6 linked regions of the Canis lupus familiaris genome follow. The protein of the gene in region 3 interacts with the protein of the main gene of each other region in a pairwise test. Links are inferred from orthologs where the notes say so. Each region holds a gene or a part of one and is shown on either strand. Other genes may lie near its edges.

Region 1 (4,459 bases), on a different chromosome or scaffold from region 3:
TGATGGTTTGTCTTTAAGTCTGAGACCAGGGCAAGGGCCCCTGGGCTAAATGAAATGTGGGCACTGACCAAGGGGCACTGTCAGTAGCAGGAGAGGACCTCAACTGGAACTCCCAAACTAACTCTGTGCGACCACTTGTCCATTTTCGTATCTGTTTTAGCTCCGTGACCAATGCAACTCCAATACACATTTTAGACAACCATCTGGCAATGCAGACAACATAACTGCCATGAGAACTTCAACCGTTAAATTCATGGGCTCCATATAAAAAAACTGATGACACTGACAGTGAATAAAGCAGTTAGTACTTAATAAATACCTTCCTTTTCAACCAAACTTCTAAAAACTAAAACTTCCATTTGGTCCACTACATAAAATCCTTCCAGAAAGTGTAAATTAAAATTTGTTTTTAAAATGACTGTACAGGGAACCCTGGGTGGTGTAGCGGTTTAGCGCCTGCCTTTGGCCCAGGGCGCGATCCTGGAGACCCGGGATCGAATCCCACGTCGGGCTCCTGGTGCATGGAGCCTGCTTCTCCCTCTGCCTATGTCTCTGCCTCTCTCTCTTTCTCTGTGTGACTATCATAAATAAATAAAAATTAAAATAAATAAAAATTAAAATAAAATGACTGTACAAACTCCTCTTTTCAGTTTTGTTTTAGAAACAAAATAATTACTTGTTCAGCCTCTTCACTGGTAAATATACAAATTTCAAAAATTAAACCAGTATCTTAAAAAGTATGGAATTCTATTTTGAAACAAATAGTGAACATGTACACAGATATAAATCAGGCCACAGTCTGCGATCTAAATATTTAAGTAGTACAGACATTCCATGCAGCAGAAATCTATAAAAAACAGAAATGACTCCCACATATTTGATTTTTCCTACATGGAAGAGAAATAACACGGCTTTGGCTTTTGCAAATGGTAAAGGCCACGCCTCTCACCATAAGGTTGGTTTTACAGTCACTGCAAAATGACCTTATCCAAAACAACTCCAACAAAATCATCTACTCACTGAAGTTGCCACTTTGGTTCCAACGGTTTATATAATTTAGCTCATCCACAATTACCCTTTAATAAAAAACATAATAGCACTAGAAGAGGTACTATCTCTGGAGTTATGAAACTTCAGGTTTTAAATGGTAGCATTCCTATTACCAATATTAGTGTAATCGATAATAGTAAGGCTAAGATAAACTTTGCAGGGAAATCTACAATAAGAGCAAACACAGCAGAATGGCTAAGGCTGAGAGAGAGCTTTGTTTCAATCCTCCCTACTGCTTAACCGTGTGACCCAGGCAAGATACTTACCAAACCTTTCGGATACATTACCATTACTTAATGATACTGTAATAGAGGAACCAAGGCCAGTCCTGTTATATAACTTGCCCCAACCTTACTGTTAAATCAATGGCCAGTGTTGTGTTCCCTTCTTTCCAGACCCAGGCCTGATTCACTTTTCAGGAGTCATCTCTCCTCTGCACCAGCAATTCTCTCACAATTGTTTTAATGAGGAGTATCTAAAACTTTCTAGAATTCTAGTTTACCTATTTACTGGTTTATCAGTACATAATTACTAATATATATATATATATATACATACATATATATATACACATACATATATATATAAATACAAACACACACATAATTCCACAATTCTAGGATTCCCTGGAGATATGATATAAATTGATCCCAGTTAATGAAAAAACCAGGAGAAAAATGCTCCTTTTTGCTAATAATATCATCATCTAGTTCAGGGTTCATACTATGTAGTTCAGTAACTAATGAATCCAAAATTGTCAATACATGTTATGTATGTGTGTGTGTGTATATATATGTATGTACACATATTTACATATATATATATATATATATATATATATATACACACACACACACACATATTTTTTTTCCTGGTTTCAAAAACTACTGCATTCATCACAGTCCTCAAAAAAAAACCCAAAATGTTTTTTTTTTTTAAAAACCATTGGTTTAGACAGAGATCCTCCCGTAACAAATTACACCACCAAACAAATTTTAAAAGGCTTTGCAGTTCACACATGGAATGCACTCTGAAATTTCAATGTTTTACGATTTTACACTAGAGTGAAATTCATAAGGGATAGCACTCTGGATTAAGAATTTGGAGACCTCTTCCTACAGAAATTCTCTGTATTGGTGACCTTGAGGAAATCCACGAAAGTGTCTGGACTTAGTTCCATGATCTGGAAAATAATTGTGTTTTAACAGATGACTGCAGGGTTTTCTCCCCAACTAGATGATTCTATGACATGATAGTGCCACATACACAGTGCACAAATCAGACAAAAATTACTTAAGCCCACTTACATCACTAATGAGTCTGGTGCATTTTCTGGCCAATTCCATCCTTAGGTCTTCAATAACAGGCTTAAAGAATATCTGTCCAGAAAAGAAAGGAAAGGAAACATTTTTTCCAGTGATCAACTTAGAGGAACAAATACCCTTCTTCAGCTGGCCCATTCCTACTTACCATGTCTTCTTCATCTTCTTCTTCCTCTGTTTTTCCCTCTTCAGTTTCATCTTTTACATCCTCAAACACAGGGACCCTCATTTTTACTCTTTATGGATAGGGTTTTTTTCTTTTTTTCTTTTCTTTTCTTTTCTTTCTTTTTTTTTTTTTTAATTTCACGAGTACAGTACCTTTCTCTGTACTATAGCACCCTTGAGATCTTGGAGCCTCTGGTGTTCTGGCAGAAATGACCTTGCCCAGGCCTCATCTCTATTTAGCTCACACTTCACCCTCTTATCACAACTATGTGTGAGTGGATGGACAGGATTGCAGAGGTCAGCCAGGGCTAGCCTCCAAGTGGAAATACCACTCTCAGGCAAAATTCGATTTTGTGACCTTTTAAAGTCAACATTCTCTAAACTGGGTAAGAAATCCAAAAGAGACCATGTATTTATATTTCACTAATTTAATTCATTCATAACACAGTTTAAAGGAGACTTAAAGATGGTGGGAAAATGACTCCGCTACAACACTCAAGATAGCATAGTCCAAAGCCTGTTATCTCAAAGATTTCTCAACTCCGTCTAAATAAAGTTTGTGCTGGAACATCAGACATATCTCTGATTTTATATAGTGAATCCAGATCATTCAAGCTCATTTCGTTAACCTAAGTTAAATTTTTTATGAGAAAAACACATACTTCCCACATTCTAAAAAGTACTAACTTTAAATTAGCTGATTAAAGTCTAGTAATTTACTATGAAAAGTCATTTGAACCACTTTAAAGAATCAATTCTGAGTTAATTATGACCATTAATCCTTATATTGCTATTGTATTATTTTAATTGTAAATATCATTAAACACAAGAAGTTGCAGTTAACATAAGTTGATATATCATTTAAGAATTCTAGAAACATCATTGTTTCAAAAAATAATAATAATCATGCTCTTCCAGTTCTGCCCATTGTGTCAATTTTTACACAAGTTTGCTGGGTTTTATACTATAAAATATTTACTCTTCATATATTCCTCTACATGCTTGGAAAAATAAATTATAACTATACTGATAATGTAGTATGTGTCATCAGTTATATAATTAAAAATACATTTCTCAAAAAAATCCTTAATTGTCAATTTAGGCAATAATAAGGCTCTATAAAATTCACAATATACCAGTTTGGTTACTCCAACCTAGGGTAAATTAATTTTCACAAAATCATAATATCAGTGTGAGACATAAAAAAATACCCTATGGTAAACAATGAAACTAATTATAAAATACAACTTTATTCCAAATACATTATTCTAAGTAGCCAAGAATAATGCAACTTTCTCTTGATATCATATCTAGTTTTAAATTTTCTTCCTAATTGTTTCAGCCTTGCCTAAACTAAAAATCTGACCAAAAAATATTCTAAACAATCTTATTTATAGATTATTCCTCAAATTGTTTTCCATGAGGCTACAGTTCCACAGAATACTCTAGAGAGGAAAGGGGGTTTCTTAAGCAAAATGTATTTGGAAAAGCCTGTATGTTCATCTCAACTCCTATCACTTAGAGATCCACACCACCTAATGACAAATCAGAAGCTCCAAGAAGACTCACAACCGAGAAAACTATTTAGGTTTTCTTAATCCAACATTTCTGAAACATGAAATCCTATTCACTTAGTCTGATCTAATCTACCTATTTACCTTCCTACCATTTTTTAATGATATCCAATGCTCCAGAAAATTAACATTCTTCTGTGAATTATTACTTAGGGAAATATTATCCTACTCTGAAAAACTGTTGTATTCTAAAACAGTTGTCGGTCTTTTCATGAAATGATTCAGGCTAACTTAATGGCATCCCATATTCTGCTTACTAGCAAAATGCCAAAAAGAAGTCCCCCAAGGCTGCGGAACTTGGAAACCTTTACTTTTAAAATAACAACTATGTTATTTTAAACATAGCTG
Region 2 (3,831 bases), on a different chromosome or scaffold from region 3:
CCGCTGCCTGTGTCTCTGCCTTTCTCTGTGTGTCTCTCATGAATAAATAAGGAAAGAAAAGAAAGAAAAGAAAAGAAAAGAAAAGAAAAGAAAAGAAAAGAAAAGAAAAGAAAAGAAAAGAAAAGAGAAAAGAAGAAAGAAAAAAGAAAAGAGAAAAAAAAAAGAAAAAGGAAGAGAAAGAAAGAAGTAGAAGAAGATAGAGGAAGGGGAAGTAAAGGAGGAAAAGAGGAAGGAATAAGGAAGAAAGAAGAAGAAAGAAGAAAAGGAATAAAGGATGGCAGGAAGGAAGAAAGGCCAGAAGGGGAAAAAAGACTTTGAGTGCTCTGGAAAATCGAGAGGGGAGGGAGTGGAGAAGCATGTGTGTGGCCTTAAAAGGGAATACTCCGGCTTTGTAGGGAGGATGAAGGGAACCTCGGCCTAAAACCTTTCTACAGACTGGAGATCATGCAGGCTGCCTGCCACCAACAAAGAGTCTCCCTTCCCTCTCAGAGATCCTGGGGTTTGATGAAGCAAAAAGCAAAAGGTGAAGTGGCCTTTGCAGCAATCCTTTATAGCCCATAGCTTGATGTGATGAAATGACTGCTGGTCTGTGCAAACAAGGGCCCCGGACTTCTGGGCCAGTCTCAGAGCATATCAGGTTGTCTGGTCACTTGAGAAGGCATTTCCCATCAGCCAGATGTGAGCATAGCCATGAAAGCCCTACCTTGGATCACAGCAGAATGAAGTAGGGGGCATGACCACATAAGCCACAGGCATGCTCACACCAAGGAGGAGCCTTGCTGCCACCAGCTGTACAGTCATCGTTTCGCTCAGGAGGATGAGGGTGGGGGCTCCTGGAGAGAGACTCCCCAACTCCCCAAATCAAATGCAGAGGAAGGAGATATAACTCAGAATCTAAAGAAGGATGAGGGTCAAACAGAAGAGATGGTTCTGTTCTCCTAAGGGCACTTCTAGCCTCCAATTTTAGAAAAACTGAAATACAGTATCCCAGAATCATCCATCCATCTCAAAAAGACCCTTCAACAAGTTCAATATGACATTTACTGATGACCTTCTGCATCCTATGTCCTGTGCCAAGTGTGGGGATACAGAGACAGCAGTGGAGGTGAACCCTACCTTGAGGAGCTTCTGGTGCCAGATAGAGACAGCTATGCACACAAACAGACAAAATTTCAATTCACACCACAGGTGTCACCCCAATTAAGCAGGATTGACTTATGAGAAGTTTGCATTTATAGGTAATTGTTTGCTTTATAAGACTCTGGATTGCAAAAACATTGATCCCATAATCCTCAAATAGAAGAGGTTTTGCCAATAACTTTTTTTTTTTTTTTAATTTTATTTATTTATGATAGTCACAGAGAGAGAGAGAGAGAGGCAGAGACACAGGCAGAGGGAGAAGCAGGCTCCATGCACCGGGAGCCTGACGTGGGATTCGATCCTGGGTCTCCAGGATCGCGCCCTGGGCCAAAGGCAGGCGCCAAACCGCTGCGCCACCCAGGGATCCCGGTTTTGCCAATAACTTAATGGAATTTTATTTACATAAATTCCATTTTTATACACTGTTTTCAAAACAGGTATACTTATACAGAGGCTGATACGTGTAAACACAGGTGCCCATCAACTGGAGAGCATTAGTAAGGTTGTGAGTGCTCTGAGAAGCCAACATTGCCTGTGTTCTCTCCTTTCCTGGCAGTGATGTGAGATTCGGCATCTGCTGTGTGACCAGCAAATGGGACTGCCCAGCACAGCCTCTTCCTTGTGGACCCAACCATTGACCATTTCCTATTACCTGTAGTTCCTGTCCATGGAGAGAAGCTCCTAGATCTCTGTCAAGCTTGCTACTTATGTCCTCCTGGAGCTTCTGCAGGCAATTCTGGGCCTGGGAGAGGAGGGCAAGAAGCTTTAGCTTTGGGATAAGGAAAGAGAGCACGTACCAACTCACCCACTATGGCCTGTCCCTGACCCATACTCCTGTGAGCCAGGTACTGGCCTTAGCACTGGCTGGGGGAAGGAGGGACCCCAGGCAAATGGGGCTGCAGCACAGTCCCTCCTACACAAACAGGAAACAAAGCCTACACGAAGGAAATCAAAACCCTGTGCTGCTGGAGGCAACATTCTTGTTGCAGAGACACAAAAAGCAAATGAGTGAAACAAACATGTAATATGGTACATGATGACAGGTGCCCAGGTGCCAATAGGAGTCATGGTGAGGGTCAGGAAAAGAGGTTGGCAGTTTAGAGAGGATGGCTAGGGTACAGTGCTAGGCACATAGTAGTTAAATATTTGTTGATTAATGGAAGGGTCACAAATGATACTTGACTCAAGGGGGCGGCATGGTGGTGGTTTCGGTATGAAGGAAGCTGATGGGAGAGAACCAGATCCCACAAGGCCAGGGTGCCTTGGTGGCTCATTCTGTTAAGTGTCTGCCTTCTGCTCAGGTCATGATCCCAGGGTTCTGGAATAGAGTCCTGCATTGCACTCCCTGTTCAAATGGGGAGTCTACTTCTTCCTCCCCTCTCCCATATGCTTCTCTCACCATCCCCACCAATGGTACTCTCTCTCTCAAATAAATAAATACAAAAAAAAAAAAAAAAAGATGGGAGCCAAAAAACTGAGAGGTTCCCACAAGGGAGGGGTCCCCACCTCCTGGATATACTGTACCTCACTCTTCAGTTGGTTGACATTCTTCTCGTGAACTATCTTATCTCCAGGCCTCCCCTTCAGGTACACCTGCAATAAGGGAAACAAGACTCTTTAGTTAAGGAAACTCTTGGGAGGGCACCTGGGTGGCTCAGTGATTGAGCATCTGCATTTGGCTCAGGTCATGATCTGGAGGCGGGGAGGCCTGGGATCAGTCCCGCATAAGGCTCCCTGCTGGGAGCCTGCCTCTCCCTCTACCTATGTCTCTGCCTCCCTCTCTGAGTCTCTTATGAATAAATAAAATCTTTAAAAAAAGAAAAAAAAAGGACCTCCTGGGAGGTTAATTCCTCATGGGCAGGCTCCTACACTACTGGTGGGAAGGTAAATTGTTACTGCCTTTCTGCGTGGCAATTTGATGATTCAAATCAGGAAGCTTAGAGCTGTAATTACTCTTTGACCTATCAAACCTACTTCTGGAAATTTATCCTAATGAGATAAACTGGCATAGCCAAACTGGCATAAACGAACACTCACATATATACGTAAATTTGTACAAAGGAGGTTGTAAAAAGGTTTACACATTTTTCTCTATACATTCTTGAATCTTTTACAATTAAGAAAATATTTAATACCTGTATTATAAAACACATACGCAATTTAGTAACATATGTTCAGCAAAATACTGTTTATGATTGCAGAAATGGAAATAGGCACAATGGCCCACAATGGGGGATTATTTAAATTGTGGTACATCATAATAGAATACTATGCAGCCATTAGAATACCAGACACTGGGCAGCCCGGGTGGCTCAGTGGGTTAGCACCACCTTCAGCCCAGGGTATGATCCTGGAGACCCGGGATCGAGTCCCACATCGGGCTCCCTGCATGGATCCTGCTTCTCCCTCTGCCTGTGTCTCTGCCTCTCTCTCTCTCTCTCTCTGTGTCGCTCATGAATAAATAAATAAAATCTTAAAAAAAAAAAAAAGAATACCAGACACTTACATTTATAGACACAGAAGATGTTATAAACCTACATTAAATCATTAAAGTGTTTGGTGGGGGGGGGGGAGCGAGCAAATTGTAGAATACAGTGTATATAATAGTATATAAAACAATTTAATTTTTGAAAAAATACAGACAAATATAAAAATATCTGAGAGGATACCCAATAAAGTAGTAATAATGAT
Region 3 (3,638 bases):
CCCTCCCATGTGACTGGGGTACCCGGTGTCCCGCAGGGTGACGCTTCGCCTGCCCAGCCTCAGTGGCTCCGACGGGATCCCCTATCGAAGCGTCCCCGAGTGGCTGGAGTCCTATACGCATGAAACGCTACATTCTGCACTTCCGCTCAGCGGGGCTGGACACCATGGAGTGTGTGCTCGAGCTGACGGCCGAGTGAGGACCTGGGGGGGGGGGAGGGGAAGGGGAGGGTGCTGGGCACGGAGAACTGCGGGGGGGTTAGGCCCACACTCAACAATCCCCTTTCGTTGCCCACAGGGACCTGGCCCAGATGGGGATCACGCTGCCAGGACACCAGAAGCGCATTCTTTGCAGTATTCAGGGATTCAAGGACTGAGCCCCTCCCCCACCCACCCTGTCGTGGGGGCAAAGGGGCAAAGACGGGGGCCATGGTCACTCCCCATGGCCCTCCCCTCAGCCTACTTATGTAGGCCTTTGGTGCTGCTCCTGCCCACCCTTCCCTGAGGAACTCACCTCTGGGCCCGGGAGCCTTTGTTTTAAAAAGGGAGGTAGGGGTGGAAGTGAAAATGTAATCGTGGGGGGGACCTGGGGAAGGGTTTAATATATATACATATACATACATATATTTTTGTAAATAAACAGGAACTGAGTTTTCCCCTTTACCCCTGGCTCTTGTATTCCCTGTACTTCCTCTACCCCACCCATGAGGGCCATATGCACAAAAGAGTTGACTCCTAAGGATTTTGGAAAACAGGTCTTTTTTTATTGATTTGTAGCTGTAGCCACAACCTGGCAGCATGGGGGGTGGGGGTGGGAGGACGTCCAGGCCGGTCGGCCCGGCCTGGCCCAGCCTCCCAGAGTCTGGGCGTCTCCTGGCCCTCAGCAAGCAGAGTACGTGGCTGCTCCGGGGCCAGCTGAGGGCATCGGTGCAGCAGTGAAAGCAGCAGCGCTCAACCTGGTGCCCCCTCAGGTGGGGTACACCTGGAGGACGGTGGGTGGTCCCTGCAGGATGGAGGTGGGCTGGAAACCCAGAGCTGGGACTCTGCAGTCCTAGGCCACGTTGGGGCCCGGGACAAGGTGTCTGGGATACCTGGGTGGGGGCTGGCGTGGAAGGAGAGGCTGGACATCAGAAAATAACTGAAGGGGGGGCAGGGCAGGTGGGGGGCAGGGCGGTCTCTGTGGGTGGTCCGCGGGTGGGGAGTGGACTCTCCCGTCCCCACTCAGGTCTGGGCTCTGGCGGTGTGGCACTTCCGGCAGAGCACGTGGCCGTCCAGGGGGAAGCAGCCATTGTCATCTGCCTCGATGGACAGTGGCTTCCCGCAGTCCTGGGAGAAAGGAGGAAAAGCCCGCTGGTGGAAGGCCCCTGTGTGCCCCCCACACCTCCACCTTTAAGTGAGGAAGACCAGATGCTCCATGCCTCGGCCAACGTCCAGCATCACTGCCTGTGTCCCCACCACTCCCACCCTCCTCTCCTAGCCTCACCTCTCCTGCCCATGTTCCTTGTCCCTAGGCCTCTCCCACCCGAGGCGGACAGTGGGTTGAGCTGTTACCAAGGCACCCACCCAAAAAAAAGACATGGGACCTCTCCCGCCTGCCTCTACTCCCTTCTCTTCCTCTTTGACCTCACCAAGCACATCTCCATCTCCCTCCAGTACAGCGAAGGAGAGCACCCTTCCCTCCCACTGGTCACTCTTTTTCTTGGTTTATCCACAACCCAAGGACCCCACAGAAAGCCCTCCCCCCCAACTTGCACAGTGACGGGGGCATCTGGGTGGAGCAGGCACAGGTATCACCCCCTCCACCCTCAAAACTGCAGCTCCAAACTCCTCCCGGCTGGTACCGGCCACCACCTGGTAGTGAGCGGTGTCCCACCACCTCCCAGCGCTGGGAGCCAGAGGGATGGCCAACCTCGCACTTGTAGCACTTCATGTGGAAGTTCTTGTCCAGAGCGACCACTCGCACGGTCTCCTCGCGGCCGGGCTCAGGCATGATGGGCCCTTCGCAGACGGAGCACCTGGGGGCATACTGCCTGGAGGGGCAAAAGCGAGGCAGGGGTCAGGGTGGGGGCAAGGGGTTCCCAGAGTGCAGGGGGATGTGCATGGCAACAGGGCAGGTGTCTTGGCCCATTTGCCTCACATCCCTGGGTAGAGGACACTCAATGGAGAAATCCTAAGACCAGCCCCCTCATCCGTCCTTTATCAAGGGGAATTTCCTGCCTTTCCCCAGCACCCTCCCCAAAATCCCATGTACCCCCAGGAGCCTCTGCCACCAGGTCTTCACCCTCTGACTGCAGCTCCTGCAGAAAGCACAGCCAGAGGCACCCTTCTCCAGCCCCACCCCACCCCCGCCCAGGACCCCCTGCTGCATGGCGTCTGCCCCACTGCTGGGGTGTACAGAGGGAGGGATGTGAAGTTCTGGATGCCTAGGCTGGAATTCTGAAAACCTATACCTCCAACACACTGGCAGAGGTGGGAGTCAGACTCTGCAGTTTCTGTACACCCTTTAGCTACATTACGGGATTCTACAGCTGGCCTGAGAAAGCAGCCACTGCTTGTAGGGGAAATCCAGAGTTCCAAAAAGCCAATCTCCAAAAGGACTTTCGGGACCCAGCCTGTGCGTGAAATGAAGTCATTCCAACACTCGTGGCTGAACACAAGACCACAAGCCTCCGAGAGCCAAAGGCCCAGGGAGGGGGCACCTGCCAGTAGCAAGACTTGCCACCAAGGCCTGAGGCCACTGGACAGCTGAATCCAGGCGAACTGGTCTCCTGCCGTCAGACAAGCATGTGGGGCCAGGAAGGAAGGCCAGGGGGTTGGCGCTGCCGTGGAATCAGGAGGGCAGCCTGGCCCAGCCCCCAGACGACGACGGCTGGCACCCAGAGAAGAGCCCAGAAGACAGGAGGTGGGTCCTCACTTGTGGTAGTCAGGTACACAGTGGGGCCGGTTGGCCTGGTCCACGATGAAGGAGGTGCCCTCCAGTGGGCAGGCGCAGACCACGCACGTGAAGCACTGCGGGTGGTAGGCTTTGCCCGTGGCCCTCAGCATGCGATCAGTGATGGGCTGCCCACACGTGTTGCACTTCTCCAGAGTGTCCTAAGGAGGTGGCGGGAGGACGTCGGCCGGGAACCGGCACCCCAGGCCCGCCTGCCCCACATCCACGGCCAGCCCCGGGCTGAGCCCCCACCCGGACTCACAGTGTAGCAGCCCTCACAGTAGGGCGCCCCCTCCAGGCTGTAGAACTGCTGTCCTTGCAGTTGCTGCCCACACTGGTGGCAGGTGAAGCAGGTGATGTGGAACAGCTGTCCCAGGGCTCGAACCGCGGGCTGTGTGCGTGCCAGGGGCTGATGACACCGGCCACAGGACTCTGGGAGGCCAGAGAAGACAGAAGTCAATGGGAGGAAGGAGCGCGCAGGCAGGCGGTCGGCTGGCTCGGACGGGGAGTGAGGTGGAGGTCCCGACAGGTGGCCGGTGAGCTCACCATTGACAGCCACATTCTGCCTCTGAGGGTGCTCCATGTCGTGCATTAGCTGCTGGGTCAGCTGCTCCAGCTCCTGCACCTCCTTCAGACTCAGAGGTCCCGGGGCCCCAGGGGAGCGTACCTGAAACGCCAATACTTTCTCCAGACCCTCTCAAGAGTCACC
Region 4 (3,538 bases), on a different chromosome or scaffold from region 3:
AGGTTTGGGATCGACAGTGCTGGAGATTACATTCTCCTGAGATGGCTGAGGTTTGGAATCACCTGGGGGTAGCCTCCAGAATGTTCTGAAACCCTGAATTCTAGAACCTGAGGAGGTCTCCCCTTAGAGGAGATCCTGCCTCGAAATCTTGGAAACTCAGATTCCTAGAATCCCAGCCATGTAAGATCGAGAATCCTCCACCCTTAGACTTTTGTGATTCCCAAATGTGAGAATCCTAACCCCCCCTCCCCCCACACACACACCCCAGTTGGAGAACAGCACTCTCTTTAACTTCTAAAACTCCAGTTTCCTTACCCTTTGAGGATTCCAGAACTCTACACCTTAGCATCCACCTTTCTAGAACTCTGGTAAGAATTACTGAGTGGCTGAGGGAGGGCTGAAGTCATCTGTTTTTGCCTGTCCCTCCTGCAGAAGGAAAGCCACACAAGTTGGGGAGAAACCCCCCAAGGATGAATCTGCCAATGTGAGTTAGGGGCTCTTCCTGCCAGGTGCACCTTAGGCTGTACCATTCGGGTAGGGATACTGGGGAGGGCCGGGGTGCGACAGGAACGGGGCGGGGTGACGCCAAGGCGAGGATCAGCCGGCGGTCTCATGGCAGTTTTATTTCCCACCAGCAGGAGGAGCCAGAGGCCAGAGTCCCAGTCCCAGCCCAGAGTGGTGAGTGGAGCCTGTCTAGCCTGTAGGGCCTCCGGATGCCCTGTTCTCAGGGGGAATGCCCCCTCCTGGGGGAGTCTGCAGGCCATGCTGCGGACTGTAGTCCCTTGAGACCCTTTGAACAGGAGCTGATGAGGCTGTGGGGAGACTGAGGCGGGGCCTTCCTTGTCCCTGATCTTCCTGATTTGTTGCCTGTCCTCCAGAAACTGTGCGGAGACCCTGGGAGAAGAACAGCACAACCTTGCCAAGGTGCGCCATCAGTGCTGGGTCCCTCCCCTCCCATAAATAGATGGATCTGTCACCTTTGTAGGAAGGGACACCAGGCGACCCTTGGAACGGGAAGCAGGGGAGGCCGACCCTTTCTCTAACCTCATTTCTGTCCCAAACCACACTGACTCTCCTAGGATGAAGTCCTCTTCATCCGTGACCACTTCCGAGGCCCACCCCTCCACGCCCAGCTCCAGTGACGAGTCAGACCTGGAGAGAGTGAAACAGGTAGCTTGGCGGGGGGTGGAGGGTGCGGGGTCGGGTGTTGGGAGGCCCCGGCTAGAAAGGGGCCACAGGTGGAAAGGAGATCTGGGGCCAAACTCCGCCATCCATCTGCCCTGTGATTCTGTGAAAAGGCCTCAGAAACCTCAGTTATTCAGCCTGAGAAATGGAGAGATTGAATCAGGTCAGGGATGACACACATACCACAGCCTCCTCTTCCAGCGCCAGTCACAGACCTTACTAATCTATCACTGCACTCATTCCTGATGAGCACCCAGAGTCCTTTCCAGCACACTAGCCCCAGACAGCACCAATCGGAATTGGCAGGAGACAGAAATATATTTGCCAGCCCTAATACTGGATGCTCTCCAGTCCTTTTCATCTGGCTCCAACGATCCAGAATTTTCCCTGAGAATTCTCCAGTCACTCTCTGGCCTTATCAATGATGTCACTGTGTGTGTGTGTCCCCGCGTGTGTGTTGGGGTGGGTAAGGGTCTTGAACCTTCTTCCTCTGGCCATTAAGAAAGGGGGGGGGGGGGGGCTTTCTCTTTAGAAAGGGGGGGAGTTATTTTAAAAGGGGACTTTCTCTTTAAAAAAGGGGAGCTTCATTTCTGCAAGTCCAGGGTGCCCTTCCTGATTGGTTGCACCCCATTATTTCCAGGAGCTTCTGGAAGAGGTGAGGAAGGAACTGCAGAAAGTAAAAGAAGAGATCATTGAAGGTGAGGTGGTTTTTGAATTTTAAACATTTGTTTTGGAGGCATCCCGTCTCCTGGAAAGGGCCCTGTTGTTGGAAGGGAAGGCGGAAGAGGCTCTGCCCATGACCCCTGCTCCTTGTTTCCTTCCAGCGTTTGTCCAGGAGCTGAGGAAGCGGGGTTCCCCCTGACCACAGGGCTCCAGAAGATCCTGTATCTCCTTTCTGCACACCCCGCCTGTCACCCTGCTTTCCCTGCCTCAACTCGACTTGGAATTGGCTAAAGACCACACAGGAATGCATCTCCCCCACTCCCTGTCCTACTTGGAAAATACCAAGGGGGTGTGGCTCCGTGGCCCCAGGGCCACACCCATACTGGCTGCTGATTGGCTGGGGAGGCCCCCACCCTTTGCTCCCTTTGGTCCTTCCCCTTCGCCATCCCCTTGGGGCTGGTTCCTCTGTTGGGGATTGGGGACCAAGTGACCCCACAGTAAGGGGGAAGGAAGGAGGGAATCTCACATTCCCTTGTTCTAGATTCACTTTAACGCTTAATGCCTTCGAATTTTTGTTTTTTTAAGGAAAAAAAAAAATATATATATATTTAGGTTTTGGGGGGAAGGGAAATTTTGTTTCTCTTTCGTTTTGATAAAACTGGGGTGTGGGGAGTTTTTAAATGCTATGCCCAGGGCTTGTCCCCTTTGGAGCAGCTATTTAAGGGGGAGGATGTCCCACCAGGCTGGGGGCACCTCCCCCACCCCCACCCCCACCCCAGGGAGCTCCCTTCCCTTTGGCTCCTTCCCCTTTTCTATGAGGAATTAAGATGCTATAACTTTTTGGAACCTCAGTTTTTTGGTTTTTTATTTGGGTAGGTTTTGGGGTCCCCCTGGGGAAATAAGATGAGGGAGAAAGGAAAGGGGGAGGAAACCTCCCCTCTCCCACCTTCACCTTTAGCTTCTTGAAAATGGGCCCCTACCGAATAAATCTGCCAGTTTTTTATAAATATGAAGATTTCTGGACTGATTCGGAGGGCTGCTCTGGTGAGGGTGGAGGTGTGTGTGTGCCCCTCCCGGCAGTGATCTGCCTTCCCCTCCTCTTTCTTCTTCCATCCTGTATCTGCTCCAGTTCCCACAGGCTCCGACAACCAATCTGCCACCCTGGAGAAAGCTAAGGACAGTCCCTCACAGTGTGGCATCAGGCAAGTCCTGTTGCTACTCCTGGGCCTCAGTTTCCCCATCTGGGAAATGGCTTGTGGGATGACTCTGACCCTTCCAGTGGGAATCCTCCCAGCTTCTCTGCTAATTCCAATGATCCTGTACCCATTTTGCAGATGTACGCCATGGTGCTCAGACACATTCTTAAAGATGACTTATTTACCCCAGAGCTCCTTTAATTATAAAATATTTACAGTCTTAAAAAAAAATAGAATTCAGAAATCACAGAGCTCATATACACCCCCTTCAGGGGTTCATTGGTTGGGTAGGGGGTTGGGGGGTAGATAACCCTGCCTGGTTGGAATATTCCATTTGGATGTGGGGCGACTTCAGGGCTGAGGGCCAGATGGTCCCACTTGAGGAAGCCTTTGTATGAAGGAGGGTGAGGGTGGACTGGGTGACCAGTCGAAGGATAAGCAGGAAGAAGGAATCCCAGAGTACTCAAGAGCAGGTTCGGGTGGGAGATGGCAGA
Region 5 (3,831 bases), on a different chromosome or scaffold from region 3:
GTCATGGGCAAGGTATCTTCCTTCTCGCAGTTCTGCTTGAAAAGGAGCTTCCCATTGGCAATGACGATGGAGGCAAACCTCTTGATGTCTTCTGGAACCATCCGTGCCACCATGACAAAGCGCTCGAGGTCATCCGGGTTGTTTTGGACCTTGTCGGTCACAAGGACTTCCAGAGACCAGTTGCAGCTGTCCAGGCTTTCCTTTGTCCCGAGCAGGATCTGGTAGGAGTTGGAGATGGTCTGTAGCTGGTCCCGGATCCTGGCCTGCAGGGTGGTGTCGCTGAGGTTACAGGCGCTCCCCTGGACGCCGCGGGCGAACTCCAGGAATGCTCTCAGAGACTCCTCCACGCGGTGGGCAGCCGTGCGGATGGCGCCGAGGTTGGCCTCCAGGTAGTCTCGGAACCTCCACTTCCTGCTGACAAAGAGCATCAGGCCGGCGACCGAGCCGGCCACCTGCTGCTGAAGTGCCGCTACCGTCTCCCTGGCCAGGTCTGGGTCCAACGAGAGCTCCTTGCCTGAGTCCTCCGAGCAGGAGCTGGACGAGGAGTCCGTGGACGTGGATGAGCACGAGGACACAACGCTGGCTCTGCTGTCACAGCTGGAAACGGACAGCCTGTCGGGGTCCGGGGACAGCGATGGTGCCTGTCCTGAGGGCCACGCGGATTTGCAGTCCGTGTTCTCCGAAGGCCCGTTCACTGTCCCCAGCTCGGTCGCGGCCCGTCGGCCCCCGGCCACCACTTTCGGGGTGTCATAAATGTTTGGCTTGGTGTTCTGCTGTTCCACCCGGGGAATCAGAAAGCTCGAAGGGACCTTGTAGCCTGCACTCTCGTCCAAGGGGATCGTGTCCCTGGGAGCCAGAAATTTGTAGCAAGGAATTTCTGGAAGGCTGAGTTTTTTCTGCATGGGCACGTTTTTATGCAGGTGTGGATTGAGGGACCTTGCTCTGCTATTTGGAGGATTCTGGAAGCTGGACATATACCTGGGGGGAGTGTGGGGCTCTGATTCTTCCACAAAGCTGCCTAGAGATGCATTTCTGCCATCAGCTTTTTCTGGAGACACTGGCGTGTCATAGATCCATTCCGACTTCTGGGGGCTCGGCAACGTGCTGTAGCTGCCTTGCCTCGTGGCGATCGCCGACATCGCGGCAGCGCTCTGCCTCTGCGAAGAGCCCCACAAAGATGCCCAGGTCAGCAGCAATAAAAAGAGGGTTCGAGCGACTCGTCTGACAAATGTGCATTACGCTGAGGACCTACTAAGTGCTGGGTTGCGTGCTTCTTACAAATCTGATGGTCACTCCCCCACTCAAGTGTCTTCAGCAGCTCCCCATTGCCATCATCGCTCAAGGCCCTTCATAATCTGGTTGTATCCGCCTTTAAGCCTCCCCACCACACCTGCCACCAGCCTCCCTGTGGGCTCAGTCACCCTGGCTGTTCACCATCCCCTGAACTCCAAATGCTCACTTAGCCCATTATAGTTCATTTTGCCCAAACCAGTCCTTCTGTTCTACCTGCCCTCCCGACCCCTTCCTTTCCCTCTAACAAACCTCTATGCATCCCTCACGATGCTGCAGAGATGCCATCACTTTCTAAAGGCCTTCCCCAATGACCTTGGGCATAGGTATATGTATTTTTAAATGCATTCGATAATGAACATGGATTCCAGATTTTCAAATTAAGACATGTCCTCTATAAACAGATAAAAACCCATTTTAACACAACCCATCTCTGGGGTGTGTGGAAGGCGAGGAAGAAGAAGCATTTACCTAAGATCTACTGAGCTTTTGCTCTGTGCCAAGCACTGTATCTGTACTAGGTCCTCTGCAGGAATGATCTCAGTCCTCACAATTAGTTTGTTATAAGAAACTGAGGCACGGAGAAGGTAAGAGGACTTGCCCAAAGCACATTGCTCGCCCTGTTCCTGAACACCACGGCCAGCAGGGGGTTCAAAGGAAATAAGCTCTGTTATGAGGAATTTGCATTCCCAGTTTTGGCCATGTTAATAAAACATCCTGGAGGATGCTCACATTTTCCTAGTATCGAATCTCTGGGCCTCATCATACTTACACCTGGTGGGCTGGTCATGGAGCCAAGTGCTGCCCTTTTGGGGCTGGCGGGTATATCATATAACTGCTGCTTCTCTGGCTCCTGGGGAAAGATGGAAAAGGATAACTTGGAGTTTTCCTTCCTGATGGATACACATCACAAACTACCCACTGCAAGCGTTCTTTCCAAAAGAGAATACAGAACACCAAAGATTTGTGGGGCTCTCGGTCATGATGCTCACATGGTGGAAGTTTATGTGGTTGTTTTCAACAACAGACTTTGTGCTTTAAAAAGATACCTTCTTGGGATGCCTGGGTGGCTCAGTGGTTGAGCATCTGCCTTCGGCTCAGGTTGTGATCCTGGGGTCCTGGGACCGAGTCCCACATCGGGCTCCCTGTGGGGAGCCTGCTTCTCCCTCTGCCTCTTTCTCTCTCTGTCTCTCATAAATAAATAAATAAATAAAATCTTAAAAAAAAAAAAAAGAAGATGCCCTCTTGACGGAAGCTGGGGACAAACTATAGGGTGGCTCATTTGCATCTGTAGGTTAGCCTTAGCATGGACTTAAAAAGGAATACATGAAACTGTGACTTAATATGCTTCCATCTTTTTTGTTTGTTTTTCTCAGCAGAAATTTTCCTGGTGCTTGTAGGTTGTGTCATCATCCTGCAAATATTCACAGAATAACCACCAGGACACTGGGCCATATGACATATAGACACCCAGTAAGGAGCATAAGACATGGTTCTGGACAGATGATGTGCTTTTTTTTTTTTTTTTTGTACAGCAATTAGAAAATACATATATCAGGATGTGAAAAGTAGGTGCCGTGTTCCAAAGTGAGGGGAAAGAAAGTAGGAAACAGGGTTCTGCAAAGAAAGAGCTGGACTCTGGAGAGGGGGTTGCTTTGGAGAGAGCTGAAATGTGGGTTTCCTACCAACTCCTCCTCACTGGGGAAGGGTGGGGTGTACTTCATCCCCCTCAAGCAGAATGGAGAGTGCCCCAGCAGGACCTTCAGGGACGAATCATGCCACCTGAGCATAGTGTCCTAGTGCACAGGGGCCAACTCCAGCTCAGGGAAAGCTAAGGGTGGGAATCTGATGGCCAAGCACAGGGGGTGGCTGTGCTAGAGATGGCGTCTTCTCGGGTGGGGACCAGGGAGAAGGAAGAGAAGCAGCTGCCTTGGCCACAGCAGTTGAGAGAGCACCAAAATTCTCAATCATTAAGGTAAATAACAATGTGATGCAACATTAAAAAAAATCACAATTAATGCAAAAAAATCACGATGAACAAAACCTCACTATTTTCAATAAAGACAAGGGTGAGGGATCCCTGGGTGGCGCAGTGGTTTAGCGCCTGCCTTTGGCCCAGGGCGCGATCCTGGAGACCCGGGATCGAATCCCACGTCAGGCTCCCGGTGCATGGAGCCTGCTTCTCCCTCTGCCTGTGTCTCTGCCTCTCTCTCTCTCTCTCTCTGTGACTATCATAAATAAATAAAAATTAAAAAAATCTTTAAAAAAAAAAAAAAGACAAGGGTGAGAGGCCCAGGATGAGGGTGAGGTGAGTGAGGTGAGTGATATGAGTCCAGCATGTGTGTCTTTATTTAAGACTTTGGTGCCCGAAGCCAGTGCCTCAACTCTGCTTGTCCTGTGTGGGGGCAGCCTGTGCTTCCGGCATCTGTCATGACAAAGGGAGCAAGTGTGCTCATCCATGGGCCAGATGAGGGTCACACCTGCCCTGGAGCAAAAGCCAGGCCGGAAGTGTGGGAGGGGGTGAGAGCATCACAGGAAGCC
Region 6 (2,914 bases), on a different chromosome or scaffold from region 3:
TTCAGGGATTCTCTCTAAACCCCTACATATGCCAGCGTTGACAGCCTCTTAAAGGGAGCCCGATGCCAGCTCCGCCACTTATTGGCTATGCAATCTTGGGGCAGTTTGACCCATCTCTGCCTCAGTTCCCTCATCTGAAAAGTAGAGGATAATTGGATTCCCCACTTCATAGCATGTTGGGAGGATTAAACAGATTAATCCATGTAACGCACTTCCAACTGTGCCTGACACACAGCAGACGCATTTGCTATTAACATCTCCAGTGTCCCCTTCCCGTATTTCTCTAGCAAATGCATAAGTCTTGGCACTCTATACTTAGTCTCCTCGTCTAAGTCTTGGGTAAAAAGAGGTAACCTCCCCCTTCTCCAGTTCCCCACCGCGAAGAACATGCTTCCAGGAACCCCCTGGGCCACTTCTAACCGCTAGCTGGCCAAGCTACAGGGTGATTATTTCCTTGGGCGAGCCAAGAGCAAACACTGCAGCCCTCTAACACGGTTACTTCCTGGGGCTGGAATATCCACAGGAAGTCCTGTGGGGAAGAGCTCGGCCAAGACAGTCATTCCGAGCAAGGGATTAGTGCCCTGACGAATCTGCCGCAACCTCCGCAGGCGCCCTCCCCACCCCCCACCCCCCACCCCGGGGGCCGGCCTCGCTCACGGGCAGGTCGCTAACTCCGCTCTTCCCTACTGGGTTCTCGAGCCCAGGAGCCCAGATGTGAACCCAGATGTGAGCCCGTACGAGAAAGCCAGACAGACACAAAGGTGCACGCTCCGAGCGGCTGGCCCCTTTACTGGCATTGGGACGGCTCCTCTCCGCGCGCGAGGGCGCACAGCGCACTAACCCATGCCCGCCCTCGCCCCGCATCTGTGCAAACTCGAGCTCGAATTCTCCAGGGTCCGTGCGCCGCTTAACCCCGAACAAGAGCGAGTACTCGAATCAAAAGGGGTCGAGCAACGGGAAGGCGTCGGCGGGCGGCGCCCCGGGGAGGGACGGCGCTAGGCCTCCAGGTCGAAGTCGTCGCGCTCCTCGTTGTACTCCAGCACGTGGCGCCGGATCCGGGACGAGTCCACCCAGGTGACGAAGTCCTCCATGCTGCGCGTGACGAGGAAGGCGGGGTCGGTGACCACGTCGGGGCCCACGCGCACGTGGCCCTGCTCCACGAAGGCCACGGCGGCCTGGAGGTGCTGCGCCATGCGCAGCTTCAGCAGCACGGTGGGCAGGCGGCGGCGGCAGAAGGCCGAGGCGGTGACCGAGTCGCAGAGCGCGAGCGAGCCGCGCGTGGGCACCAGGCCGAGGGCGTACAGCTTGTCCAGCAGCGCGGCCGAGGCGCGCACGCGGAACGGGTCTCGCTCGGGGAGGTCGCGCAGACGCCGCGCCAGCTCGCGCACCGCCCGGCTCAGCTGGTTGTAGCGCGTGTAGTCCTCCCGCCGCTGCAGCCGGTACCGCCGCAGCACGCGCAGCTCGTGCAGGTTGTGGTCGGTGGCCTCCCAGTTCAGGAAGTCCACCTGCTTCAGCAGCTTCTGCTCGTGGAACTTCAGCTTCCGCACCATGATGGCGGCTCCCGGGGCCTCCAAAGCCGACGCCTCGACCGCGCCGCCGAGCGCCCGCGCGACTTCCGCCCAGGCCGGCCCAATGAGAGGACGGCCTCGGGCCACGCCCTCCGCCCCCATTGGTCAGGCCGGAGCCACGCCCCCGCCAGCCACGTCACTATCTCGCGTTGCTTCCCGCGTTGCCGGAAGTAGGGCCGAGGTGCTGGCGGTGGGGCGGCTGGCGCGGCCGCGGCCCGGGCAGGTGCTCTTCCTTTAGACCTTTTTCTTGTTGTTGTTTTAAACCTCCTCGTGGTGTTCAGTCACGAGGACTGTATCCCCAGTGCAGCAGTCGTTCAGTCCCACTCAGACTTATGCCTGTTAGAGTCTCCCAGGTGAGTCCGCTCCGGGAAGCTGAGGTCAGGCCGGGCGGAGACAGGTGCCGGCTGTGCTGGTTCGGCGGGCTGCGCGGCGCTCCCGGTGCTCTCGGTGCTCCCGGCGGTCGCGGTGCTCCCGGTGTCACGGTCCTCCGGTGCTCCCGGCGGTCGCAGTCCTCCCGGTGCTCTCGGTGGCCGCGATGCTCCCGGCGGTCGCGGTCCTCCCGGTGGCCTTGATGCTCCCGGCGGCCGCGGTCCTCCCGGTCCTCCCGGTGGCCTCGATGCTCCTGGCGGCCGCCGGTCCTCCCCGTGCTCGCGGTGGCTGCGATGCTCCCGGCGGTCGCGGTCCTCCCGGTGGCCGCGATGCTCCCGGTGGCCGCGATGCTCCCGGCGGCCGCGGTCCTCCCGGTCCTCCCGGTGGCTTCGATGCTCCCGGCGGCCGCGATGCTCCCGGTGCTCGCAGTCCTCCCGGTCGTCGCGATGCTCCCGATGCTCCCGGCGGTCGCGGTCCTCCCGGTGCTCCCGGTGGCCGCGGTGCTCCAGCTGCTGGGAGCTTCCCGGCGCCGCCCGGTCTAGGGGGGCCCGACGCTGGCGAGCCTGCAGGAACCCCGACTGCCCGGCCGCTTCCTCGCCCTCACAGAGGCCTCCCCGAAAGCTGTATTAGCAGATGTGCCAGGTGACTCATCGAACCTAGCAGGTCCGAGACACCTGGATTCAAGTACACACCCCGAGCTCACTCGAATTAGCCCGACCGGGTGGACTTCTGGTCACCCGGCACCGAGCTGAATACATTCAACGCTCTTCGGCTCCTTCGGTCTGTAAGTCACATACACGAAACCGGTCTGTTTGCCTGGGCCTTTGACGCCATCTAGCTTCCTCGCTGATCATTTTTAGTTTTGTACGGGAGTTTCATTGTCCTTTTAAGTACGATACTTACTATGTGGGAAATGATACATGTCAGTGTAAGTTATACATGTTAAGTTACAAAGTATAATGAGGATACTTAGGAAC

The links.
Region 1: the proteins of ZYX (region 3) and NEBL interact in a two-hybrid assay, tested with the Homo sapiens proteins (2 studies listed by BioGRID and IntAct). The link is inferred for Canis lupus familiaris from reciprocal best matches to the Homo sapiens genes ZYX and NEBL.
Region 2: the proteins of ZYX (region 3) and TUFT1 interact in binary tests that used the Homo sapiens proteins (3 or more experiments, as listed by UniProt). The link is inferred for Canis lupus familiaris from reciprocal best matches to the Homo sapiens genes ZYX and TUFT1.
Region 4: the proteins of ZYX (region 3) and VASP interact in binary tests that used the Homo sapiens proteins (3 or more experiments, as listed by UniProt). The link is inferred for Canis lupus familiaris from reciprocal best matches to the Homo sapiens genes ZYX and VASP.
Region 5: the proteins of ZYX (region 3) and CASS4 interact in binary tests that used the Homo sapiens proteins (3 or more experiments, as listed by UniProt). The link is inferred for Canis lupus familiaris from reciprocal best matches to the Homo sapiens genes ZYX and CASS4.
Region 6: the proteins of ZYX (region 3) and IMP3 interact in binary tests that used the Homo sapiens proteins (3 or more experiments, as listed by UniProt). The link is inferred for Canis lupus familiaris from reciprocal best matches to the Homo sapiens genes ZYX and IMP3.

The regions. Positions count from the first base shown.
Region 1 is NC_049223.1:9,942,573-9,947,031, reverse strand, and holds the start of NEBL (nebulette), read right to left. Parts: upstream 2,987-4,459; 5' UTR 2,602-2,986; coding exon 2,521-2,601; intron 2,430-2,520; coding exon 2,358-2,429; intron 1-2,357. UniProt on the Homo sapiens protein: Binds to actin and plays an important role in the assembly of the Z-disk. May functionally link sarcomeric actin to the desmin intermediate filaments in the heart muscle sarcomeres.
Region 2 is NC_049238.1:61,269,656-61,273,486, reverse strand, and holds part of TUFT1 (tuftelin), read right to left. Parts: intron 2,734-3,831; coding exon 2,665-2,733; intron 1,883-2,664; coding exon 1,793-1,882; intron 1-1,792. UniProt on the Homo sapiens protein: Involved in the structural organization of the epidermis. Involved in the mineralization and structural organization of enamel.
Region 3 is NC_049237.1:6,031,356-6,034,993, forward strand, and holds the end of ZYX (zyxin), read right to left. Parts: intron 3,597-3,638; coding exon 3,476-3,596; intron 3,362-3,475; coding exon 3,192-3,361; intron 3,091-3,191; coding exon 2,912-3,090; intron 2,028-2,911; coding exon 1,907-2,027; intron 1,324-1,906; coding exon 1,219-1,323; 3' UTR 740-1,218; downstream 1-739. UniProt on the Homo sapiens protein: Adhesion plaque protein. Binds alpha-actinin and the CRP protein. Important for targeting TES and ENA/VASP family members to focal adhesions and for the formation of actin-rich structures.
Region 4 is NC_049222.1:110,761,359-110,764,896, reverse strand, and holds the end of VASP (vasodilator-stimulated phosphoprotein), read left to right. Parts: intron 1-432; coding exon 433-484; intron 485-638; coding exon 639-678; intron 679-878; coding exon 879-924; intron 925-1,079; coding exon 1,080-1,170; intron 1,171-1,825; coding exon 1,826-1,883; intron 1,884-2,009; coding exon 2,010-2,047; 3' UTR 2,048-2,857; downstream 2,858-3,538. UniProt on the Homo sapiens protein: Ena/VASP proteins are actin-associated proteins involved in a range of processes dependent on cytoskeleton remodeling and cell polarity such as axon guidance, lamellipodial and filopodial dynamics, platelet activation and cell migration.
Region 5 is NC_049245.1:42,396,869-42,400,699, reverse strand, and holds part of CASS4 (cas scaffolding protein family member 4), read right to left. Parts: intron 2,144-3,831; coding exon 2,063-2,143; intron 1,158-2,062; coding exon 1-1,157. UniProt on the Homo sapiens protein: Docking protein that plays a role in tyrosine kinase-based signaling related to cell adhesion and cell spreading. Regulates PTK2/FAK1 activity, focal adhesion integrity, and cell spreading.
Region 6 is NC_049251.1:38,869,614-38,872,527, forward strand, and holds IMP3 (U3 small nucleolar ribonucleoprotein protein IMP3), read right to left. Parts: upstream 1,632-2,914; 5' UTR 1,551-1,631; coding exon 996-1,550; 3' UTR 763-995; downstream 1-762. UniProt on the Homo sapiens protein: Component of the 60-80S U3 small nucleolar ribonucleoprotein (U3 snoRNP). Required for the early cleavages during pre-18S ribosomal RNA processing. Part of the small subunit (SSU) processome, first precursor of the small eukaryotic ribosomal subunit.